Linked DNA regions of Coturnix japonica. The protein of the gene in region 1 purifies or fractionates together with the protein of each later gene. This does not show direct contact. Links are inferred from orthologs where the notes say so. Each region holds a gene or a part of one and is shown on either strand. Other genes may lie near its edges.

Region 1 (7,578 bases):
CCCAGGAGGCTGCTGGCCTTCTTGTCTGCCAGGGCATGTTGCCAGCTCATGGTCAGTTTGATGTCCTCCGGGATGCCCAGAGCTGTTTCTCAGCAGGCATAGCCCAGCCTACACTGCAGCAGAGTCAGTGCCTCCCAGGAGCACGACTGTGTTACCAATGTCATAGTGTTCTGTACTAACAGACTGCCACACAGCATTGCAAAAAGCAATGTTAATATATCTAATCTCTATCAATTATGGCTTTTAAAGGGCAAACTGCATTTTAAGGCAGAGCATGCACCTTGATTTTCACGGTGTCAGTTTGTTTGTGGAGCTAGATCAGGGCTTTCCCTGGTCCAGGTGCAATACAGCACTTACAGTGTAAAAGTGACAGTGATCTTAGGTGCAGGAAATGCACTACGTTTATCACGCCGTTATCACTGAGAAAGCCTCAAGATGAATGGTAATATTGTACTTCAGAGAGAACTTTGACTTTCGTAAAAGAAAGATTATCTAAAAATGGAAATGTCTTGCTACAGAGGCTTAATATTCTCCTGCAGAAAAAAAATACACCTGATTCCTGGGGTCAAATTTCCTGTGAATCACAAAATCTCTGTGTGGATTAGAGGGACTGGGAGATCAGGACAAAAGCAAAGCTATTCCCTGGACAGAAGTGTGCCATTTCTTCATTGTAAGATGATTTAGCTGGGAAGTATTGGTAATGGTTGGACTAGATGATCTTCTAGGTCTTTTCCAACCTTGATAATTCTGTGATTCTGTGATAATATCAGTGAATTTTACAGGTATTTAAAAATACAAAGTGTTCCTGGGTTTGATTTTTATTAAAGACTTGAAAAATGAAACGGGAGCTTAAAACATATGAAAGTACTTTTTCTTTATTTCTTTTAATGTGAAAACTAACTGGCACTTTATGACCAGCTCTGGTATGATCTGTCTGTGAAGGAGTTTAAATGGGCAATGACAAATTCAGTACAGGAAATGGAAAGAATCACTGATGTATCATCTTTTCCTAATTCCCATTTCAGATCTTTGAATGATGGCCACTGCACAATTCTGTACTGCAGAGAATCATTTATTTCTCCTACATAACTTAATAGAAATGTCATAGGCTTTTTCTCATGTTCAGACGTAGCTTCCGTATGCTGCATCCGGCTTCGTCTGCAGTCTTTGCTCATAGCTATCAGGTCACTGGTTTTCAGAACTGAATAAAGCACAGGGAACCAAATCTCACAAGGTACACGAACTTACTGGTATGCAAAGCTATTCACTGAGGCTGCAAAATAATCCCCAAGAGGAAGTCAGATGGAAAGAAATCTTAGCAAAGGACTTCAGAGCCAGAGCTCCCACTTTCTTCCTGGTCTAATAAAAGTGAAGCAAACTGACGTCTAAGGTTGGCACTATCCCTTCTTGTTTGCAGAGTGGTAGCAGGGTTGTACACCTGTGACGCTGCAGGGAAGGACCCAGCCTAACAACTCAAGATGCCCACCCAGCTCCTGAGTTTTCTATGGCTATGGAGGCATTCCCTCTTTAATGCAACAAGTTTTTTCTTGCCAGCTTTGTCTATCTCAAAGTCAGCTGTTTAATGTAGGTGATCTGCATTCCTTTTGTGCTCAGCAGAGAGCACAGCTGTGGCCAACCTTAGCACGACAACCCTTGACACCCACCTTGGGGTGAGATGAATAAACCTCTCAAACCACAAGCCTTCCTGCACTTCCCATAGGTGCCTTTACTTGCCAAAACAGCTGTCTGACTTCTTGATAACAACAGTGGGGTGAAACACATCTACTCTGATCATTCACTTTTGCAGTATAATAAAAGCAGAGGCAGGAATCCTTGAAGGCCCCAAGCAAGATTGTGTTGGCCTTAGTGCATGCATATTAGTTAGGCAGACAGTATCTCCTGGGGACTTATTTTCAAAGACACCTGCTGACCATGCAGGGAATTGAGGTACTTGCTTTAGGAAGATGGCTTCAGTAGGTGCCTAACATTGAAATGCAAAGTGTCACTCCCTCAAGTGAGGCAGCTGAAGTGCAGCTTCCATAACCGGGGTAGGGTGCTGGGTGTTTAACCAGGGTATGCAAGGAGGTCATATCAAGGTTACAGCTTGGAACCATGACCTTTTGTGCAAGCACCATTTGGTGGGAGAGAACCCAAATGGGTTCTGCCAGAAGATCCAGATCTGGAGCATTATGGGGAGACTGAGACTCCTGTCTAGCTCCCCTCTAACCCCAAAATGCAGCAATTCTGTGCTCCTGATGCCTGCTCACCTACGTGTGTTCCCCTAAGCTCCAGCAACAAAGGAATGTCCCAAGCACTTAACTCTCCTGCAGGCAGCTGGGAGCTACAGATCTCCGTAAAATACCAGCAGAACAGAGCACATTCCAGGATTCCTTATATGCTTTTGGGACAGCTGTCCTGCATCCTCTTTGAAACCGAGGTATGCTGCTATTTTGCACCCTATTCCTCCCATATTGCCCACACATTGTCAGCTCTTTGCTTGGTGCAGAACCTCACGTAGAGCAACTCACTGTGGCCTTGGACTTGTTTTAGCTTTCTTACCTGTCACCTTGCTTCAATTCTCCAGTGACAGGAAGTTCTGAGCAGATCAACAGGTGAAACAGCCCAAAAAGCAACACACCATCTTGCTTTGGGCACAGCTGGAAAACCAAACACCACCTTTGTTTCTTTCTGGATACACTTTCTCCTCCAGAGGAGGGCCACGAAGATGATCAGGGGACTGGAGCACCTCCCCTATGAGGACAGGCTGAGGGAGTTGGGTTTGTTCAGCCTGGAGAAGAGAAGGTTGCGGGGTGACCTCATTGCAGCCTTTCAATACCTGAAGGGAACTTACTCCCAGGAGGGGAGTAAACTCTTGGAAAGGGCTGACAATAGCAGGACACGGGGAAATGGTTTTAAGTTAAAAGAGGGNGGGAAATGGTTTTAAGTTAAAAGAGGGAAGATTTAGGTTGGATGTTAGGGGGAAGTTCTTCACTAGGAGAATGGTTAGGCCCTGGAACAGGCTGCCCAGGGAGGTTGTGGATGCCCCGTCCTTGGAGGTGTTCAAGGCCGGGTTGGACGGGACCCTGGGCAACCTGATCTATGGGGTCTCTATGGGGATCTATGGGGTCTCTATGGGGCTCTATGGGGTCTCTATGGGGATCTATGGGGTCTCCTGGGCAACCTGATCTAGTAAATGTGTATGTTTGGTGGCCCTGCCAGGCAGGGGGGTTGGAACTACATGATCCTTGAGGTCCCTTCCAACCCGGGTCACTCTGTGATTCTGTGATTATGTTATTACTTTACTATGGTGCCCACTCTTAACCAAAAAGAGGAGCACAACAAAAGGATTTACCAGAGATGGTAGGAACCACCTGACAACATATTGTGTGTTCAATATGACTAAATATCCATATATTTCTCACAGCAGGAAGCTGACAGCTGCACAGCTGTTAACAGGACGATCGCTCCACTATCCTACAGGTTGTTCTAAATAACTGAAATGCTTTATAATACCGAAACCCGGCATTACGCTGCCTCCCTCTCAGATCCCCACAGCAGCGCGATGCTGCCGCCCCGCGGGCCGCCCTGCCACGCTCAGGTAACAGCAGAGCGCCCCCTGCCGACCATCCCTTCATTTACACCCAGCCCCATCGCAGCGGCCCATTGCGGCTCCCGTACAGCCGCCCGTTCCCGTTGCGCCTGCGTAGTTCCGCGGAGTCCTTGGGCCGTGCAGGCGGTCGCCATGCAGCGCTGGGGCCGCGTCTCCTGCGCGCTCGCTCGGGTACGGCGCTGTGCGAATAACGAGGGGCGGGCGGGGGGAACCGGAGGGCTCCGTGCCATTGGGTTGGGCTTTGCCGTGCTTTGCCGTGCTTCTCCGCTTTCACACCGTGGCCTCGCCGCTGGGCCGCGTTCCTGTTTTCTTCAAGGTTCAGCTTTTAAAGCCGTGGCTTGTTCTGTTTTAGAGGAGCCATTTTGATCGAGTTCATCATGGTCTCCAGGGGGTGTGTGCCGTGCCGCAGAGGACCTACGCCGATCAAGGTAAATCACAGAATCACATAGTGACCCGGGTTGGAAGGGACCTCAAGGATCATGTAGTTCCAACCCCCCTGCCTGGCAGGGCCACCAAACATACACCTTTACTAGATCAGGTTGCCCAGGGCCCCGTCCAGCCTGGTCTTGAACACCTCCAAGGACGGCTGAACCTGCCCTGCTGCTGTGTGGAGATGTCGGTTGGTCTGTACAGCTGCCTGAGGGGAGGTTGTGGTGAGGTGGGGAATGGCCTCTGCTCCCACATAACAGCGATAGGGTGACAGGAATGGACATAAATTGCACCACGGGAGGCTCAGGTTGGATATTAGGAAATGTTTCTTTGGAAGAGTGATGAGGCCCCGGCACAGCTGCCCATGGAGATGTGGGTGCCCCATCCCTGGAGGTGCTCAGGGCTGGGTTGGATGGGGCCCTGGGCAGCCTGAGCTGGTGGGGGGCAGCCAGCCCATGGCAGGAGCCTGGGGCTGAATGGGCTTTAAGGTTCCTTACAACCTCACCAATTTCTATGATAAATTCTTCTTTGTCAGATTTACTGTCAAAATAAAGGTATAATTAGAAGCTGAATTTCATAATGTAAGAACAGTGGCAGTGATTAATATTGCTGAGGAGGTTATGATTGCTAGAAACAAATGTACAAAGTTCACAGCTGCTTCTGTGTTCATAATCAATAAGGGTTACACAGAAGTTTACTTCAGCCATATTTCCTGCATTATAATCTGATGATCCCATGGCATGCACTGCTCATGTATATTTTGTGACAAGCAACAGAAGAAATTTTGTTGGTAAAATGCTTAAATAAACTGCTCAGACATCTGGGGTTACAGGTTTTATAGCAGGAAGGATGGGTCAGATGCATCCCATCTGCTTAATTTCATTTTACATTATTTTCCCTGTGAAATTTAAGACTTTATATTGTCAAAAAACCTCTATACAACCTTTGCTTTTGTCTGGAAAGTCATTTTGTGAAGTGTAATTTCTCTAGTATTAAATTGCATAATTTTTAATAGCTTTTTTATTACTTTCTCTCCATTATTTGGCATTTCCAAATATGAATAAGTTCAGGAATAAATTGGTCCTGCAGTAAAGTCTTAATTGCTGAAAAGAGTAACTGTAATGTTCCCTGTTGCAGTTGATGCCGATGTCACAGTTATTGGATCTGGCCCGGGAGGTTATGTTGCTGCAATCAAAGCAGCTCAGCTTGGCTTTAAGGTAAGAACTGACCTTTGGAGACCTTCTGATCACTCTTCAACCTCTCCACTACATAAAACATGCACTGATTCTGTTGTGGGTAAGTACCAAAACAGTGCTCAGCTGATGTGATTTCCTAGTGCCATTGGAGGAGTTTGATGGCCATTTGGGAGTTTAGAAGTGGGAAATAGTATGCTCATAAGTTTCATTTTCACTCATGAGTGAGACATCAGCAGCATTGCTGTTTCTCTTTAACCCAAGACCAGTTTACTCTCCTGGCACTGCGTCATTCTTTCATGAAGTACTTGCTAAGTGTACTTGCGCATGCTCTGTTGGCCGGTATATCCCAGTGCCTCTGAAGTAAGACAGCAGGACTTCGTGAAAAAACCAAGGTGATGAGACCACCTGGCAAGGACAGAAGCTCCTGTTTACAAGAAGAGTTCAGTGCAATGTTGGAACAAGTCCAGCTTGCATGTAGCCTTCGCCCATATAGATTTTCAGGGCTTGGCTTGTCGAGGCCTTGAGCCATCTGAGACAGCTTTGATGCTGTGCTTCAAGAAGGAAACTTGGCTAGATGGCTTCCAGAGAAGGTCCCTTCAGCCTCATTTTTCTGTAGTTAAGAGTGTTGTCCCTCATTGGTTATTCCTCCAACAGCTGGAATTCAGTGATGCCTCTGAGTATATTTTAACCTAATGTGTAACAGTACCAGAATAGAGTTTTTTGAAAGTCAGTTTTACATCTGCTTTTGACTCTAGTGAAGTTAATCTAAAGTGGATGAGTCAAAGCCTTACCAGGTAAAGGTGAGAGCAGTCTAGTGCTGTTTGGTCCATAGAGCAGCTGTTAAAGCACTTGGATCATTTTATGTTTGTGTGCTTAAAACAGGAAGAGGGGTAGTTGGGGATCAACTGATCTCCTTGTGGTTATTTGATTTGATGTTGAGTCCTCATGGTACTGTTACTGCTGCTTACCACAAAAGCAGCAAGTTAAATGACAACAGGCTTTCATCTGGGAAGTCACTTCTCTGCACATTTGTTTCCCTGGAGCATAAACCAAGAGGTTCTTACTTGGTGCTTATGTTCTGTGCTTGTCACTGAGGAAGGGACATCTCTCTTTGCTGCCAAAAGGTTTCCAATGCTTTCCCCTCCTTTTTTCCCTTCAGACTGTTTGTGTAGAAAAAAATGAAACATTGGGTGGAACCTGTCTGAATGTTGGATGTATTCCTTCAAAGGTAAGGGTACATTGTTGATCATAACTTCATTAATAACTATAGCTCCTACATGCATCAATTTACAAACCCCTACTTATCTTTTTCCAAGATGGACATACTTTGTTTAGAAAAATAACTTGCAACCAAATGATTTCCATGAATAAAAGGAATTCAAAGGATTGCATTACTTATTAATTCAGTGGGAATGTCTTGTTTACAAACTGTTTTGTGGGGTTTCTTAAGTGAGAGGAAGAGGGATAAAAGCAGGAGGTGTATGCAGATGCATCTTCTCCCCAGTGAGCTGGTAAGTCTGTATGGTAACCACTAACTAAATACAGCAATTAAATGCTATTTAAATACAGTTTAAGGTGGTTTTGTCTTAGGGTCTGCTGTGTGGAATTCTCAGTCCTTTCAAGTCAATGCTCAATACACTTGTTGTTTTCCACACAGAGGGTGGTGACGCACTGGAACAGGTTGCCCAGTGAAGCTGTGGGTGCCCCATCCCTGGAAGCATTCAAGGCCAGGCTGGATGTGGCACTGGGCAGCCTGGTCTGATGGTTGGAGACCCTGCACATAGCAGGGGGGTTGAAACCAGATGATCTTTGAGGTCCTTTTCAACCCAGACCATTCTGTGATTCTATGATCCCTTTTTATATTGCAGTTTCTAATCAAGTTATAGTTTGGAGATTCTGTATTTCAAGCTGCTGATCTTTACATGCACTTAGAAAGGAACTGTTCTGATTTTATTTTTGAATTGTGATGATTGAATTGTGAATTCAGTGACCTGAATTGGCTTTAAACGGTCTGGCTGTACAGTTGTAACAACTTCAGCACAACTCAGCTACAGCATTGAACTGATATTTGCACAGACTAAAATTTAACAGTGATTTCAGTATAGATTCTTTCCTCCTCCAGTTTTTCCATATCCTCCCAGTATTTTTGTTGACAAATTTTCTGAGCTAATGAAGAAATTCTACTGAATGATAGCCATCTATTGTTTTCCTTTGCTTAAAGCCTGTCCCTACCTTTTTATTCTCAGTGCTATCATTTCCACTTTCTCCAGTGAAAAGAGCAGAAAGGGGTAGGAATGATCTTAACTACTCTCTATTTTTGTTATATGTATTTTCTCAAGTTAC
Region 2 (7,522 bases), on another chromosome or scaffold:
GGTGGGGATACGGGCCCTTCACAGTTTGCCTTTTAACAGTGCTCTAAATCCTTCCTGAATGAAAGTCGGTGATGTAGAAGCACATAGAACTTTATCTGTGCTCCAGGACAGACAGCCTCAAGCCAGCACCAGCCTACAACACACAACATGCACACCCAGGTACAGAACCTCACCAGCACAGCTACTTGTGTCCAGGCAGTAAGGAACAGGTGACGTGGAGATGCATCCCAAGACAAACTGCCTTTAAAGGCCATAAGAAATGTTCACCTAAAACAATCCTCAGCCCGACCAACTTCTGGCACCATTTAAGCCAAAAGGGATATGCCACCATAGCCCAAGTATGCCCAGAACTAGGAAGGAACAATAAGAGAAAAGAACCTTCGAGGAAAAACACTGAAGCCATCATTTTGTAATAAACACACCAAATTGGATACCTGCATTTATAGAACACTCACTCTTACTTAATATTTTATGACTCAGAAGATTACAAGGCTATTTACTAGCAACGTTACTGCAACAGGTAGTCCCATTAACTTCAGCAGGGCTTCTCCTCCCAGGTTGCTGCTAACATGCAACTATTTTAAAAGCTGAAATTCAAAGAAAGCAAATGAGAGCGGGCTGAACATCTGCATCTGTGAACACACATCCAGGACAGAGGCAGGGGATGTCAGCAGCACTGCCAAGTGTTTGCACTGCTGGGACTGAATACAGCACACTTGGCCCTGGGCACAGACTGCACACACTGCACTTGGATAGAACACAGCAGTTGTACCATCCTATGCAGGCAGATGAAGGAGGAGCAGAAACGCACCTAGCAGTCACAAGTCAAAAGGCACACGGCATCTGAGCTGCTCTGAATGCTTCTCAGCTACCTTGCTCAAAGGGAAGGACACAAACTGTTTACGGTCTACACAAACTGTTTAGTCTCAATATGTACTGAAGACTCCAAGGTCAATATAAAGTTGACAGGACTTCTACTAAGCCAGTCTGGTATTTATACAGATAAATACCTGCGGTTCATGCTGCTCTCCCACTTAGCGAGCTCACTGTCTCTGACATTAAGATCTCCAAAGATGAGAAAATGAAACTCCTGCTCTCAGTAGCCACACTGTCAATGGACAGCCTCTCTAATCCTGAGCCAGTCTTAAAATGTGAAGGCAAGTTTTTATTGCAAATCATTACCAGTGACTCACCTGAATCGACAGTCCTTCAGCCAGTGTAATTAACGACTGCCTTCCACAGAACTGCAGAGCAAGGCAATAGTCTGCAGAGCAAACCCAAGGCCATACAGTGCTGAGCTACCCCAAGCAACAAACTATGCTATGGAAACAACCGCTTACCAAAACTTCTGGTAATACCACAGCTTGGCATTGCTAAAGGATGAATCCCTCACCTACACACGTCAAGTTTACAATGATTAACACAGTTTATTAGAACGTAACTTCTCCTTATTTTCTCTGCTTCTTTTGGTTAATATTTCAGCCTTCACCTCAGGCAAGAGAGCAAAACACCAACAGTGGCCACTCAGCATTCTCGCTCCTTTATGCCTAATTGCTTCACTATGAATTCCAAGCTCTGAAAGTTTCTTTCCCACACCTGAGGAACAATACAACATCTCAGTTTGGGACTGGGTTCTGAAGCTCCATCTGCCAGATGCTTGAAAATCCCACATCACCATTTGACCCTCCTCATGCAGGAGTCCAAGGACTGCAACTGCACCTGCCCTGCTCCTGCTGGCACCACACAGTCACTCTGCACAGTGTCAGTAGTTGGTTTTACCCACGTATCTTGTTCCATGGCACCAGCAGGCAGCTGTGTGCATGGGGAAACATCTCCCAGCAGTGCTGGATGAAGGCAGGTGTCAGGAGCACATCCTGCACAGCCAACAGTGCTGACACAGGGACCAAGCAGCAGGATGGTGACAAGAATCGTCCCTTCAAACCCAGGCCCACAGGAGGAGTCGGGAACAGCCGCTTTCCATCCCAGAGGAACGCACGGAAGGAAATCTCCCCCTGAGATCGCAATGATTCAGCAAAGGATGCTGGACACGACTGCACCGCTCCACCCGCTGCCCCCAAGTGCCCATCGCCTGGATACCGCTCCCGGCCCCAGCCCGGCCCTCCTGCAGCGAGGGGCAGCCCCTGTTCGAACTGAGGGCCGGGTACAGCCTCACAACATCCCAAACGGGGCCCGGCAGCCCCCAGCCCCAGGTACCCGCAGTCCCACAGGGGGCCCAGCCCCGTTTCCCCCCCCCCAGTGCAGCCTCCGGCCGCTCACAGCCCCGTGTTTCCCTCCCACCCCCCACAGCAGCACAGCACAGCACAGCACAGCATAGCACAGCACAGCACAGCACAGCACAGCACAGCACAGCACAGCATAGCATAGCATAGCATAGCACAGCCCGGCCCGGCCCGGCCCGGCCCCGCCCCTCCTCACACTCACAGTCGCAGGTCCCGGCGCTGAAGCAGAGCCCGGCGATGATGGGGGCGACTGAACCGGGAGCGAAGCAGCCGCCGAGGAGGGAGGAGCGGGGGCGGGTTCTGCCGCGATCCCCTCCCCGTGTCTCCGCCCGCTCCGCTCGGGTGAGGGAGGGAAGCCGCCTCCTTTCACCTCAGGGCCGACAGTGGGGACACCTCGCTCCGCCCCACGCCTCCTTGGCGGGCAGTTGTGTCACTGAAGAGGGGCACACAGATGAAGGGGGGCGGTGGGGGCGGTGCGGTCCCGGCGGCAGGAGGCGATGCCGCGTTGATCGCGCCCCGAGCGGCGCCATGCGAGCAGCACCGAGCGCGGCACGGCCTCACCGCCACCACAGCGCGAGACCGGAAGTGACGCATAAAAAGAGCGCTGGCTGCCAGCGCCAGTTCTCGCGAGAGTTCAGGCAGGGGCCGAGGTAGCGCGGGGGCCGGGCCGTTGCCCGGTGCTATAGAGGACACGGCCAAGATGGCGGCGGCGGCGGGAGCGCTGCGGCTGCTGGTGCCGCGAGGCCGCCTTCTCTCGCCACGCAGAGGCTTCCACCTCTCCGCGCCCGCCGCCATCCAGGTACGGGCCGTGAGGATGGAGCTGGGGCGGGGGGTTCATCCGTACGGGCGGGGTGGTGCGGGTGAGCCGAGGGACGGCCGCCCTGCCCTGCCCAGCACTGCCCGGCTGCCGCTTCCCGCAGGTGACGGTGCGGGACGCGCTGAACCAGGCGCTGGACGAGGAGCTGGAGCGGGATGAGCGTGTGTTCATGCTGGGCGAGGAGGTGGCACAGTACGACGGTGCCTACAAGGTGAGGGAGGGGGGGCCCTGCCGGGGCCGCAGTGCGGGCTGTGCGGGGGCTGACACCGCTCCGATCCTTTCAGATCTCCAGGGGGCTGTGGAAGAAATACGGGGACAAGAGGATCATCGACACCCCCATCTCCGAGGTACGGCGCGGGGCTCCCCCCACAGGGCTCCCCGTGGGCCGAGCTGTGGCGCTTAATGCTGTTTGCTCCTCTTCCAGATGGGCTTCGCAGGAATCGCCGTTGGTGCCGCAATGGTCAGTACGCCCTCAGTCCTAATGAACTGATGTACAAAACGAGCTGCTTTGGTGTTAAAACATATCGTATGGTCTAACTCTGATAGGCGGGGTTGAGGCCGGTGTGTGAATTCATGACGTTCAACTTCTCCATGCAAGCAATCGACCAGGTTATCAACTCTGCTGCCAAGACGTGCTACATGTCTGCAGGAACCATCGCCGTCCCCATCGTGTTCCGTGGCCCCAACGGGGCTTCAGCTGGCGTTGCCGCACAGCACTCGCAGTGCTTCGCTGCCTGGTACGGGCACTGCCCGGGGCTGAAGGTTGTCAGTCCTTGGAGCTCAGAAGATGCCAAGGGGCTGCTGAAGGCATCGATCCGGGACGATAATCCAGGTGAGCACAGTCAGATGACGGCAGTATTTAACTCTCATTTCTGAATGCTTCTTTTCCTCTCCCACCTCATGTAAAAAGATAAAAAGTTTATTCAGCACTTAAGCATTTTGTGCTGTTCTAACCTGCTTGCAGGTACTCATCTAGAAGCTTTGAAAGACACATTTATGAACTCATTGTAAAGGCATTATAAAGGATGAAGATGAGTCAGGAGAAGTACCTGCAGATACAGTACAGTGTAACTCATTTTTTAGAGTTGATGAAGCTTAGATGATAAATTCAGAATCTCATTAAGCAAAATCAGGGCAACCTTCATCTTTCTTTCTCACAAGCACACGTGCAAAATGTAAGGCTTTTTCTGAAGCTAGCAGTTCTACAGAAACATTTCTTAGCCACAGCCTTTGCAGTTTTCCCTTGATCTACCTTTAGAGATGAACTGAAGACAGTATTTAAACTAACTGCGTAGTGAAGTTGATTGACTTTTAATTGTTTGTATTGGTCTTGCAAATATTCTTCTGCGGTACCGTTAATGATAAGTACAGCCTGTTCCTGCAGAGGTATGAATTAATCCAAGTATGTTTTGTTCTAGTTGTGGTGCTGGAAAGTGAATTGCTGTACGGCGTTCCCTTTGAGATGTCAGAACAGGCACAGTCAAAGGACTTTGTTATTCCAATTGGAAAGGCCAAAATAGAAAGGGAAGGTAAGCTGAGAACACAGTGTATGTACCTGTATGTATCCTTACTAACCAAGCTGCCTGGGGACTCTTAGCTGTTCAAAATACTGCTATCATGGGGCACAGGAACACATTTAAATTGTTAAATACTCAAATATGATTTATCCTGTATTGTACTCAATTGTTTGTTCTCAGTTTCTCACTTAAAACTGTACCTCCCTAGAAGGTTTCTTTCTCAGCCTAAGGATGGTGTTGGTGATGTGCAGGGAAGTTCTCACCTTACTATGTCATTTTTGTCCAAAATGCAGAAGATATCATTGTAATTTTTCAGCCTGTTTATAATTTACCAATGAATAGCATGAAAGCGTAAAAAAAAAAATAATCCGAAAAGTATTGAAAACATTATTTAGATCCCTGAATCAAAAGATTATCCTCACATAGTCCTGCTGCCATTCTTCACAGGTATAGAAATACTTAACATTTCATGTAGATGTAAGGAACTTAAATTTGCATGAGAATACTGATGCTACCTACAAAAGAGCCCAAGAAAAATGCTTTTTTGTGTGTGTGGTGGGTTTTTTTTTTTCTGCATTTGTTTCTTCTTTAAAACTTGTTTCTGTTCCAGGAACTCATGTTACATTAGTGGCGCACTCTAGGCCTGTTGGGCACTGTTTGGAAGCAGCTTCTATCCTGGCCAAAGAAGGTGTTGAGTGTGAGGTGTGTGGGGTTTCTGTTGCTTTTCTCTGTACAAGGAAAAAGGCAGAGGGTCACCTTGTTCAGGCTCTGTAGAACATCACTTTATAAACTCCAAGCTTTTGTAAGTGCCTTAACTGCCAGAGTATGTGCATTTCTTGTTTCTGCGTTTGACCTTTTCATCACAAAATCAAGTCAGAACTACCAGAGACTTTCAGATTGATCTGCCTGTACAATGAGCAGAACAATGACAGTATGTAGCAGCATGATTATATACAGTGAGACTCATTAAGCATTTTCCATGCTTGATGAGCCACCAAAAGCCATTCTGAAGCATCTGTCAGGATAAGAAGTAATTTCATTAAGTCTTCTTGTCAAAGTCAGAATAGATTGAAGTGCTAAAGGACACAGTGCCCAAACAGCAGTAAAGGTCACGATCAGATCACAGCAAAACTCACTCAGTGCCTTTTTTTAAGGTTATAAATCTGCGCACCATTAGACCAATGGATATTGAAACAGTGGAAGCCAGCGTTGCAAAGACAAACCATCTTGTAACTGTAGAGGGAGGCTGGCCACAGTTTGGAGTAGGAGCTGAAATCTGCGCCAGGATCATGGAAGGTACCGACTTCTGCAATCTGCACCTTGATCTAAATCCTCATGACTTCTTGATAATGCCAGATTTGATAAAGCCCAAATTGGAAGTCCTGTGTCTGAGGAGCTTAACAGCTGTCCTGTTCTAGACACATTCAAATGGTCAATCCAGATAGTCTTGTGGTATAATTCTTATCCCAGAAACTGAAGCAAGATGGTAACTTTTTGTTTATCACCATGCGCTGTAGTTTAGACAGGCAGGAACAGCTGTCTCTGGTACTGCAGAACAAAGTTATTTGTAAGCGTATTAAGATTCAGAAACTGAATTGACAGCAAACCAGATTGTGCAACAACTTGACCACCATTTTCTGTTTCAGGATCCGCCTTCAACTACTTGGATGCTCCAGCTGTGCGTGTTACAGGTGCAGACGTTCCTATGCCTTATGCAAAAATTTTAGAAGATAACTGCATACCTCAAGTGAAGGATATAATATTTGCAGTGAAGAAAACTTTGAATCTCTAAGTTGTAAATATTGTTTTAAAGTCCTGCTTTAAAAAGTATTAATGGTGTAGGGCAACATGTATGCATCACTTTGTTGTATAGCTACATTAACTTTTGTACAGTAAAGTACAACAGTCTCCCAGAATATTTATATGGCTGCAATGGGGTCTGGTGGGGTTTCCCTCTAAGCCACTGCATTTAAGTAACCATGTGGTAATGCTCATCTCTAAGGTAGCTTGTACTTCAGCAGTGCAGGTGGGTTAGGATCTGTCTGTATGCCCTAAGTTCAGAGTGAAGAAGAGGTTTTCCACTTCTGCTCATCCTGTAATGATCAGACTAGCTGTGCTAAACTGACTGTGATGGTGGTTGAGTGCAGAACAGTAGTGAGTAATGAGGGCCACCCTGAGTCTAGTCCTAGGAGCCTACATTTGCAAGGCTTACTAATGGCAAATGATAAAACCAGAGCTGAGTGAAGCCTTGCTTTTTAATTCAACAGCTTAACAAATACCTGTATAAAATGGCTTCGGAAGCCTATAGTATGGGTTAAGAGATGGCTCGTGTACTTTCTTCAAAGAGTGCTCTGGTCATACAGGAAAGCTGCCCAAGAGTTTGATTTAAGATCCTTAAGATCCCGAACCTCTTCAGTGTGATGGGAAGTAATACCTATTTATTCTTTATTATCTGTTGTGTGTTTTCTATGCCAGCTGTCATGTACAGTGAGGAAAAAAAACTTGCTCAGATGTTTTGTTTTAATGTATGGTTTTGTGCCTTGTTTGTTTGCTTGTTTTTTTAAGCTTGCCCTGGGCTCTGAACAATGATATGCACCAACTGTAGTTCTTACAGGTGGGGAAAAAAAAGTTACTTTATTCAGACCTGGGTAAGGTAATAAACTATTCAAAAGCAGTAGTTGGGTATGTTTGAAGAGCTGGGCAACAGCTGCGCCAGCCTTTGCTGCAAACACGTATGTGGGTTTAGCTAAGGAGCCCTTCTTGACAGGATTTGTTCTTTGTTCAGCAGCTTCTGTGACTGTCCTGTAGGGACAGGCTGCCTACAGCAGTCAGTGCAGCACGGCTTGCTCTACAGCCAGGAAAAGGTGCCTTTCCAATGAACCGTTCTAGAGCAGATACTTACCTCCCTTAAGCAGACACAAGGGCTCAGGCCCTGCTTCAGTTACAGG
Region 3 (7,502 bases), on another chromosome or scaffold:
GTAACTGAGGGGGCTGCAATGGCCGAGTTGTGCCGCTGGGTTTTTGGGATGCGCCCTTTGAGCCTGGCAGGGGATTCCTGGATTTGTCCTGATTCAGCATTTCCTTAGTGTGGCAGCCATTAATTCTGTCCTTTGGGCCCTTGACAGTCCTTGACACAGCGCCTGAGCTCTGCCCACGAGCCAAGGCTCTCTCGATCCCCACACTGTTCCCATTAGACTGAATAGTGTTGCTGGGCACGGGGTTTGTAGCTGCTCGTGCTGGTAAGTTCTCTTTGTCGGAGCCAAGCCATCGCTGCCGGCTCTCATCCAGGGAGCAAGGTGCCCCGGGCACAGACTGCCCACTTCCAGCCTCCTCCGGCCCTCCAGGGTTTAGGTGACAAGAGGCAGAAGGTGGGACCTTCCCTCTGGGCTGTGCAGGGGGGTTTGTGCTCGGAACGAGCCCTGCAGGCAGCTCTGTGCCCTTCCCCAGCTGCCGTGGCCGTACCACTCCTACTCTCTGAGACGCACGTGGATGCTGCCGCAGCGTAGCACACCCAGCTGGCTGTGCAGGTTTGGCTGCAAGTTTGCCATCCTTCCAGGTGCCCTTTGCTACGTGTTGGACGATGCCCTTGTTCCTGCCAAGCTGCAGAGACAAAGAACATCAGGCAGAGCCCAGAGCAGAGCTCAGCTCAGTCACACCCCGACACTCAGCCCCACCAGCCCAAGGGATGCACACAAAGCCCAGTGCGGGGAGACAAGCCCAATGTAACACCCAGCACTGAGACAGAGGATGATTCTCTCATTATTTGCTCTGAAAATTAATTGCTTGTCTCAGGGCCGGATGTTTAACAACGTGTTACTACCACCCACCTGGGGTCAGGAACTCACCGTCCTGCTCTGTGTTCCCCCATCTGCATGGATGCACTTCAAGCACAAAACCAGACTGAAAAGAGTCCATTTCTACTTACATGTTCTGGTTCAGAAACTGCTTTTAAAAGTGGATCCAGGTGATTAGTCTGGTCCTTTAAACAGGCCCTGCAGAAACAAGGTGAAAGAGCTCAAATGCTTCTGGTTGCTTCAGCCACAGCAGCTGATGAGAAGCGTTTGGAAGCCTGAAAGCTTCAAGGAAGAACCACGTCGTGTTTCTTTCCCTTCCGTGTGGCAACAGAAAAAGTGACAGCAAAGAGTGTTACACAACACACAACTTCCACTGACGGGAAAAGCCATCAAAGCGCTTCCTGCAGCTGACGGGGCCGGGCAGGACATGATGGGAACCCACCTACCAGATCAGGTGTGGTAACGAGCTTCCTCCTGATTGCTTTAAATGGGCTGAAGGTGTCCCTTCCTTATTACCATAAAACAAAGCTGCACAGCTGGCAATGCAACCAAAGGCTGCTCTGCAAACCCAAAGCCTGGGATGGGAAGGTTTTGTGGAGACACCCAGCATTAAAGAGCAGGAAATAACAACTCAACCACGGCTGTGTTGATGCTACCAGGAGCTGCCCCAGGCTCAGTCTGGCACAGGGCTGCTCCCATTAGCACACACTGCAGAGGTGGCAGATGCTGGTGATGCAGATACAGCTGCACAGCCCAACTTACTTGGTGCTGGTGCATTTCGGCTTCCTCCTGGCCTCCAGGTACTCCTGCAGCTTTCTTCTCCGCTCTTCTGCAAAGAAATGGGAGGAGAACATGGAGCACACAGCGCTGGGAATGGGGGGTATGGCCGTCCTGGAGCTCAGCGCTGCTCACAGGCACCAACAGCACCCAGCACATACAGAGTGATGCCCATAGCAGCACTTAGACACACGGGGTGCTCCTATAACAGCACTTAGACACACGGGGTGCTCCCATAGCAGCACTTAGAGCACATGAGGTGCTCCTATAGCAGCAATTAAAGCTCTATGGAGATCCTATAGGGCAGGGCAGGTGCTGCCAATGCAATGGGGCACCCGCAGCTCCTGCTGTCCGTCCCACCCGACCCCATTCCCACCCTGTAGCACCCTCCATTCCGGTCTGGACCCGGATCCATCCCATATCCCATACCCCATACCCCATATCCCATACCCCATATCCCATATCCCATACCCCATATCCCATACCCCATACCCCATATCCCATATCCCATACCCCATATCCCATACCTCATACCCCATATCCCATATCCCACACCCCATACCCCATACCCCATATCCCATCCCTCACCTTGTGCCGCCATCATCTCAACCCCCCCAACCTCCGCCACAACCGCCGCCCCGCGCTCAGCGGCCGCCGCCGCTTTCAAACCGACCAATGGGGAGCGCCGCAGTGAGGGGGCGTGGTGGGCACGGGGAGCTGTGATTGGGTGAAGTCAGAGGATGGGGCGGGGCCAACGGAGACACATGGCCGATAAGTGTAGGGAAGGGGATGGGGGGGGAGTGGAGCATGGGGGTTTTGGGAAGGGGGGTCGTTGATGGGTCTGGAAGGGGGTCCTGGGGGACATAAAGGGGGTCTGGAGGGGCATATGTGGGTCTGGGAAGGGGAGTTTCTGGGGGCATAGGGGTCCTGGGCGGGGACATCATGGGTTTGGGAAGCGGGCTCGTTGGGGGGACATAATGGGGCTTTTTGGGAGGGAACATATTGGGCTGGGGGACCATAGACGGGGGTCGATGGTCTGGGGAGGGGGTCTAGGGGACATAGGGGGCTCTGGGAGGGGGGTCTGGAAGGGACATCTATGGGTCTGGGATGGGGGGTCTGGAAGGGGGGGTCTGGGGGACATAGGGGGGTCTGAGGGCGTTTCTAAGAGGTTCTAATGGTCTGCAGGGGGTTCTGGTTCTGATGGGGGCTTTGTGAGGCAATGGGGTTGGCTGTTAAGGGGCAGTAGAGCTCGGAGGGTCGTGGGCATCCCGAGGGCAGCAGTCGCTGTCTTTGCCCCCCAGGTACCCGCCGCTGTGTGGGCAACGCTCCTCCAGCCTGAACCACCCCGACGACCCCCAGAGGGACCCGGTGAGACACGGTGAGACACAGTGAGCCACACATCCACAGGGAGCCTTTATTTGTGAGAGACAATAAATAGCTCCACCCCAACGCGGGGGGTGGGACAACAACGTTGTGATCAAATATAAAAAATATATAAGTTAAAAGCAACAGGTAACGAAACATAACGGTGTGACTCGGGCCCACGGGGCCCAGAGCGGCTATTCCACGTGGAACAGCATGGAGGGGCAGCGGGTTGTACTCGGTACATACAGCACGAAACCAGCCACGGGCCGGTTTGGGTTTGGTTGGGTTGCAGGGGGCACTTAGTGCCCGCTGAGCTTGTAGGTGGCGATGTTGACCTGGTCGGGTTGGTTGGTGATGCCCACGGGCTGCCGGGGCTGCAGGGACGTGCAGATGAACCAGCCGGGGAAGGCGGCCGACTCGAAGCGCGTGGTGCCCTCGGCCGGGCTGTCCAGGCGGTAGAAGATGAAGCGGGTCAGCTCCACGCTGTCAATATCCCGCAGCACATCGGCTTCCTGCCATACGGACACGGGGGGGTCAGCGGGTGCTGGTGGTATCAGAGTGGGATATGAGGATGGGATGGGGGCTGCTCACCTCCAGCTGCAGGGTGGGCTCAGCGCCGCTCAGCACACACGACATGTACAGCTTGTAGCCCTTGATGCCCAGCGCCACCGGCATCTGCCCGGCTCCAGAGCTGCCCCGTGGGCCACGGGGACGGTACAGAGCGATATTGAGCCTCACTGTGGGGAGAAGGGATGGGTCAGTGGGTGTGATGGGGGGCAGGGGGTAGGGAGAGGGATAGGGGTCAGGAATGGGGATAGGGGGTAGGTATAGGGACAGGGATAGGGGACAGGGACAGGGGTAGGGGGTAGGGACAGGGATAGAGATAGGGGGTAGGGATAGGGGTAGGGGATGGGGATGGGGATGTGGTGCCCTCACCTTTCTGGCTGGAGGAAGGCCCCTGGAGGTGCAGGGCCACCAGCTGTGTGGGTGACTCCAGCACGAAGCACTTCTGGTTGATGTCGAAGATGTCGAAGGACTGTGAGCGGGTGTAGCGGAAGGCGGGCGCCCCGGCGTAGCTGCTCTCCAGCCGCTGGAAGGTGACGGGCTCTATGGGGGGCAGGAGGGCAGGGAGGTCAGCGGGTACCAACAACAGCCCAGCCACCATCCCTCCTCCTTGTCCAGCACCGTGCTCCTACCAAACACCTCCTCCAGGAGGGCGCTCAGGTCGCTGTCATTGAAGTCCCTGCTCCTGGGCCTCCGCAGCAGTTTGGTCATGGCCACCACCAGCACGGCAGCGTGCCGAAAGCTCCGGGCGCCGCGTCCCTTCCTCACCGTCACCTGCACGTCCACTGAGCCGCCGGGTCCTCCCGTCCGCACCTTCTGCTTGCAGAGGCAGGAGGGGCCGTAGAAGGTCTCATCGCTGAGGCTGGAAGGCAAAGCAGACGTTGAGCTTTGAGCAACGTGAAGCTCAGACCCACCCTGAGCCCCCAGCTCATCTCAGCGCTCACCTGCTGCTCTCCAGCACGTCCAGGTCGGGAACAAACGCCATCTCTGTGCTCTCAATGGGAGCTGAGGGTGAGGCTGCCTGCAGTGCTGTGGGTGCTGTGGGTGCTCCTGCTCCTCCTGCTGCTGCTGCTGCTGCCTTTGGAGCTGTGAGCGCTGCTGCGGAGCGCTGGGTTTTGAAGGGTTGCTGGAAGGAAGCGGCACCCAGCGGGATTTCCACGTTTCGCAACGGTCGGAGATTGCCGAGTTTCGTTATCTGCTGCAACGCGGCACCGGCGCCGCCTCCGTGCTGCTGGCTGCGGGGCAATGCGGGGCAATGCAGGGCAATGCGGGGTAATGCGGGGCCCATGGGGGCTTTGGGGTCACTGTAGAGCTCAGAGCGTGCTTTCTGCTTTGGGGCTCAGAGGGGCTGTTTTGGGGTCAGTAGGAGACGCAGAGCTGCTGTGATTTGGGGTCACAATGGGGCACAGTTTGGGGTTGGTATGGGATGCGATAGAGCCGTGCTTATTGTAGAGCTGAGTGTGCTTTTCACCCATGCTTTGGGGTCAGAGCGGTGTTTGTCAGGATGATGCTTTGGGGTCAATGTGGGGCTCAGTGGAGCCGCCCTTCAGAGCTGTTGTGGACCACACAGCAGATGATGCGTTGGGATCAGTGTGGGGCCCAGCAGGGCGTTGCTTTGGGGCCATGCACAGAGTGGGGCAATGCTCGGGGTCTGGCTGACACATTGGGGCTGCCCCATGGCCGCCAGTGCCCCCGATGACGCCAGCTCTCGTCAGGGCTGCAGCGAGGCCAGATTCCCCTATAGGGGCCGGTGGTGTAAGTGCTGCCGCTGCCCCATTTCCCCACCCAGCCCCACTGTTTCCTGCCTGACCCCACACGTCCCTCTCCCTCTGATTGCTGTCTTAGGGATGTTGTCCACTTGGGCTTCCTGCCGCTCAGACCCCACATCCCCATTGCCGTCCTATAGGGCACCACATCCAGCCCTGGTGGCTGCCCCGTGGTTGCGCCACGCTGGACGGGGATGTGCGTGTGTGGGGTGTGTGGGGCGGCCGCGTGTTTTCCTGCAGCCGTTTCACTTCCCAAATGGTGTCACTGTCCCCACAGGACGTGACTCAGGGCTGGACCCTCACGACCCTCCCACCACCACGTCTCCGTTCCCAGGATGTCCATCCCCTGTGGGCAGCGTCCCCACGCTGGGTTTCATCATCGTGGACGTCCCCGTGGGGGGATGATCCCATAACGGATGTTCCCCACACCCGGAGGGCTCTGCACCACAATGGCCATCCACAATGTGCATCCATTGTGTGCTGCAGACCCCAATGGTTGGATGGCCCTATAGATGGATGGATGGATGTCCCTATGGATGAATGTCCCTATGGATGATGTCCCCATGGTTGTATGTCCCTACGGATGGATGTCCCTATAGATGGATGGATATCCCTATAGATGTATGTCCCTATGGATGGATGTATGGCCCCATGGATGGATGGATGTCCCTACAGATGGATGTCTGTCCCTATGGATGATGCCCCTGTAGATGGATGTCCCTACGGATGGATGTCTCTATGGATGGATGGATGTCCCTATAGATGGATGGATATCCCTATAGATATATGTCCCTATGGATGGATGTATAGCCCCATGGATGGATGGATGTCCCTATAGATGGATGGATGTCCCCATGGATGGCTGTCCCTACAGATGGATGTCCTTATGGATAGATGTCCCCATGGTTGTATGTCCCTATGGATGGATGTCCCCATGGATGGATGGATGTCCCTATAAGTGGGTGTCCCTATGGATGTATGGCCCTATAGATGGCTGGCTGTCCCTACATCTGGCTGTCCCCATGTATGTCCCTACAGCTGTCTGTCCCTATGTATATCCCCATGGATGGATGGCTGTCCTTATGGATGGATGTCCCCACGGTTGTATGTCCCTATGGGTGGATGGCTGTCCCCATCTATGTCCCTATAGATGTATGTCCCCATGTATGTCCCTATAGCTGTATGTCCCTATAGCTGTATGTCCCTATAGATGTATGTCCCTATAGCTGTATGTCCCTATAGATGTATGTCCCTATAGATGTATGTCCCCATCTATGTCCCTATGGCCGCCCCCCCCCCCCGTTCTCAGCGCGGTTCTTTGGGGGCGTGTCCGTCGTTGTGGGCGGGGCGACGCGGTGACGTCAGAGCGGGGCGTGGCGACGCGGGGCGGCAGCCGGCGGTTGGGGGCCGCTGTCAGAGTCGGGGCCGCGAGCGGCAGCGCGGAGCGGCAGGTACCGGGATGGGGGACGGGGCGGGTCGGTCCGGTCCGGTTCGGTTCGGTTCGGTCTGGTCCGGGGCCGGGCGGGTCGGGGTTGTTGTGTTGGGGGGGGCGGCCCGAACCGGGTCCGTGTCCTTGGCGCCGCCGCCAGGGCGCCCCAGGGCGGGGGAGGGGGCGGGGCCGCCGCGGGGACGGACGGTCCGCTCGGCCAATCGGGGGGCGGCGACGCGCCTCGCGCCGCTCTGATTGGTGGCGGAGGGCGCGAAGGCCGCGCGGCGGAGGCGGGCGCTGATTGGCGGGCGGGGCGCGGGGGCGGGGCCGAGCCTGGCGCCCTGCAGCACGTGGGAACCGGGACCGGAACCGGGTCGGAACCGGATCGGAACCGAACCGCGAGCGGGGCCGGGAGCTGTGCAACGATGCCTTAATGCCTTAATGCCTTAATGCCTTAATAATACCTTAATGCCTTAATGCCTTAATGCCGGCCGGGAGTCCAGGCCCGGCACTGCTGCGCTGCCGTCACCTTTAACGGCAGCAGTTCTGTACCGGGAGGTTCGGATGGTTCGACCCAAACGCTCGGCACCAAAATCCGGCACTTTAAGGGGAATCGGAGCCGCAACGGGGTGAAACTGCGACCGGTCCGTGGGGAACCGGCAGAGATAGAGACAGAACGGGGGGGTGTGAGCTCATAGAGCCATAACGGGCTGTGAGCCGCCATTATAGAGACATGGGGGCGAAAAGGAGCCGAAAAAACATCAGGGGTGACCATAAAGTGATGG

Evidence for each region. The genes of interacting proteins can lie anywhere in the genome.
Region 2: the proteins of DLD (region 1) and PDHB purify together in Homo sapiens (affinity purification with mass spectrometry; 3 studies listed by BioGRID and IntAct, counting the BioPlex papers as one, with this or other methods). This does not show direct contact. The link is inferred for Coturnix japonica from reciprocal best matches to the Homo sapiens genes DLD and PDHB.
Region 3: the proteins of DLD (region 1) and OGDH purify together in Homo sapiens (affinity purification with mass spectrometry; 3 studies listed by BioGRID and IntAct, counting the BioPlex papers as one, with this or other methods). This does not show direct contact. The link is inferred for Coturnix japonica from reciprocal best matches to the Homo sapiens genes DLD and OGDH.

The regions. Positions count from the first base shown.
Region 1 is NC_029516.1:13,333,231-13,340,808, forward strand, and holds the start of DLD (dihydrolipoyl dehydrogenase, mitochondrial), read left to right. Parts: upstream 1-3,654; 5' UTR 3,655-3,742; coding exon 3,743-3,781; intron 3,782-3,962; coding exon 3,963-4,038; intron 4,039-5,176; coding exon 5,177-5,256; intron 5,257-6,394; coding exon 6,395-6,463; intron 6,464-7,578. UniProt on the Homo sapiens protein: Lipoamide dehydrogenase is a component of the glycine cleavage system as well as an E3 component of three alpha-ketoacid dehydrogenase complexes (pyruvate-, alpha-ketoglutarate-, and branched-chain amino acid-dehydrogenase complex).
Region 2 is NC_029527.1:9,333,918-9,341,439, reverse strand, and holds the start of PDHB (pyruvate dehydrogenase E1 component subunit beta, mitochondrial), read left to right. Parts: upstream 1-2,876; 5' UTR 2,877-2,940; coding exon 2,941-3,039; intron 3,040-3,160; coding exon 3,161-3,268; intron 3,269-3,341; coding exon 3,342-3,404; intron 3,405-3,481; coding exon 3,482-3,517; intron 3,518-3,603; coding exon 3,604-3,889; intron 3,890-4,475; coding exon 4,476-4,586; intron 4,587-5,184; coding exon 5,185-5,276; intron 5,277-5,728; coding exon 5,729-5,870; intron 5,871-6,220; coding exon 6,221-6,366; 3' UTR 6,367-7,522. UniProt on the Homo sapiens protein: The pyruvate dehydrogenase complex catalyzes the overall conversion of pyruvate to acetyl-CoA and CO(2), and thereby links the glycolytic pathway to the tricarboxylic cycle.
Region 3 is NC_029537.1:135,343-142,844, reverse strand, and holds the start of OGDH (2-oxoglutarate dehydrogenase, mitochondrial), read left to right. Parts: upstream 1-2,856; 5' UTR 2,857-2,971; intron 2,972-2,982; exon of another isoform or gene 2,983-3,257; coding exon of another isoform or gene 3,258-3,470; intron 3,471-3,549; coding exon of another isoform or gene 3,550-3,695; intron 3,696-3,894; coding exon of another isoform or gene 3,895-4,065; intron 4,066-4,154; coding exon of another isoform or gene 4,155-4,384; intron 4,385-4,466; coding exon of another isoform or gene 4,467-4,810; exon of another isoform or gene 4,811-6,528; intron 6,529-6,632; exon of another isoform or gene 6,633-6,739; intron 6,740-7,502. Other genes in the region: CKAP2L (cytoskeleton-associated protein 2-like), read right to left, coding at 1-622, 948-1,014, 1,579-1,645, 2,182-2,197; interleukin-1 beta, read right to left, coding at 3,258-3,470, 3,550-3,695, 3,895-4,065, 4,155-4,384, 4,467-4,810. UniProt on the Homo sapiens protein: 2-oxoglutarate dehydrogenase (E1o) component of the 2-oxoglutarate dehydrogenase complex (OGDHC). Participates in the first step, rate limiting for the overall conversion of 2-oxoglutarate to succinyl-CoA and CO(2) catalyzed by the whole OGDHC.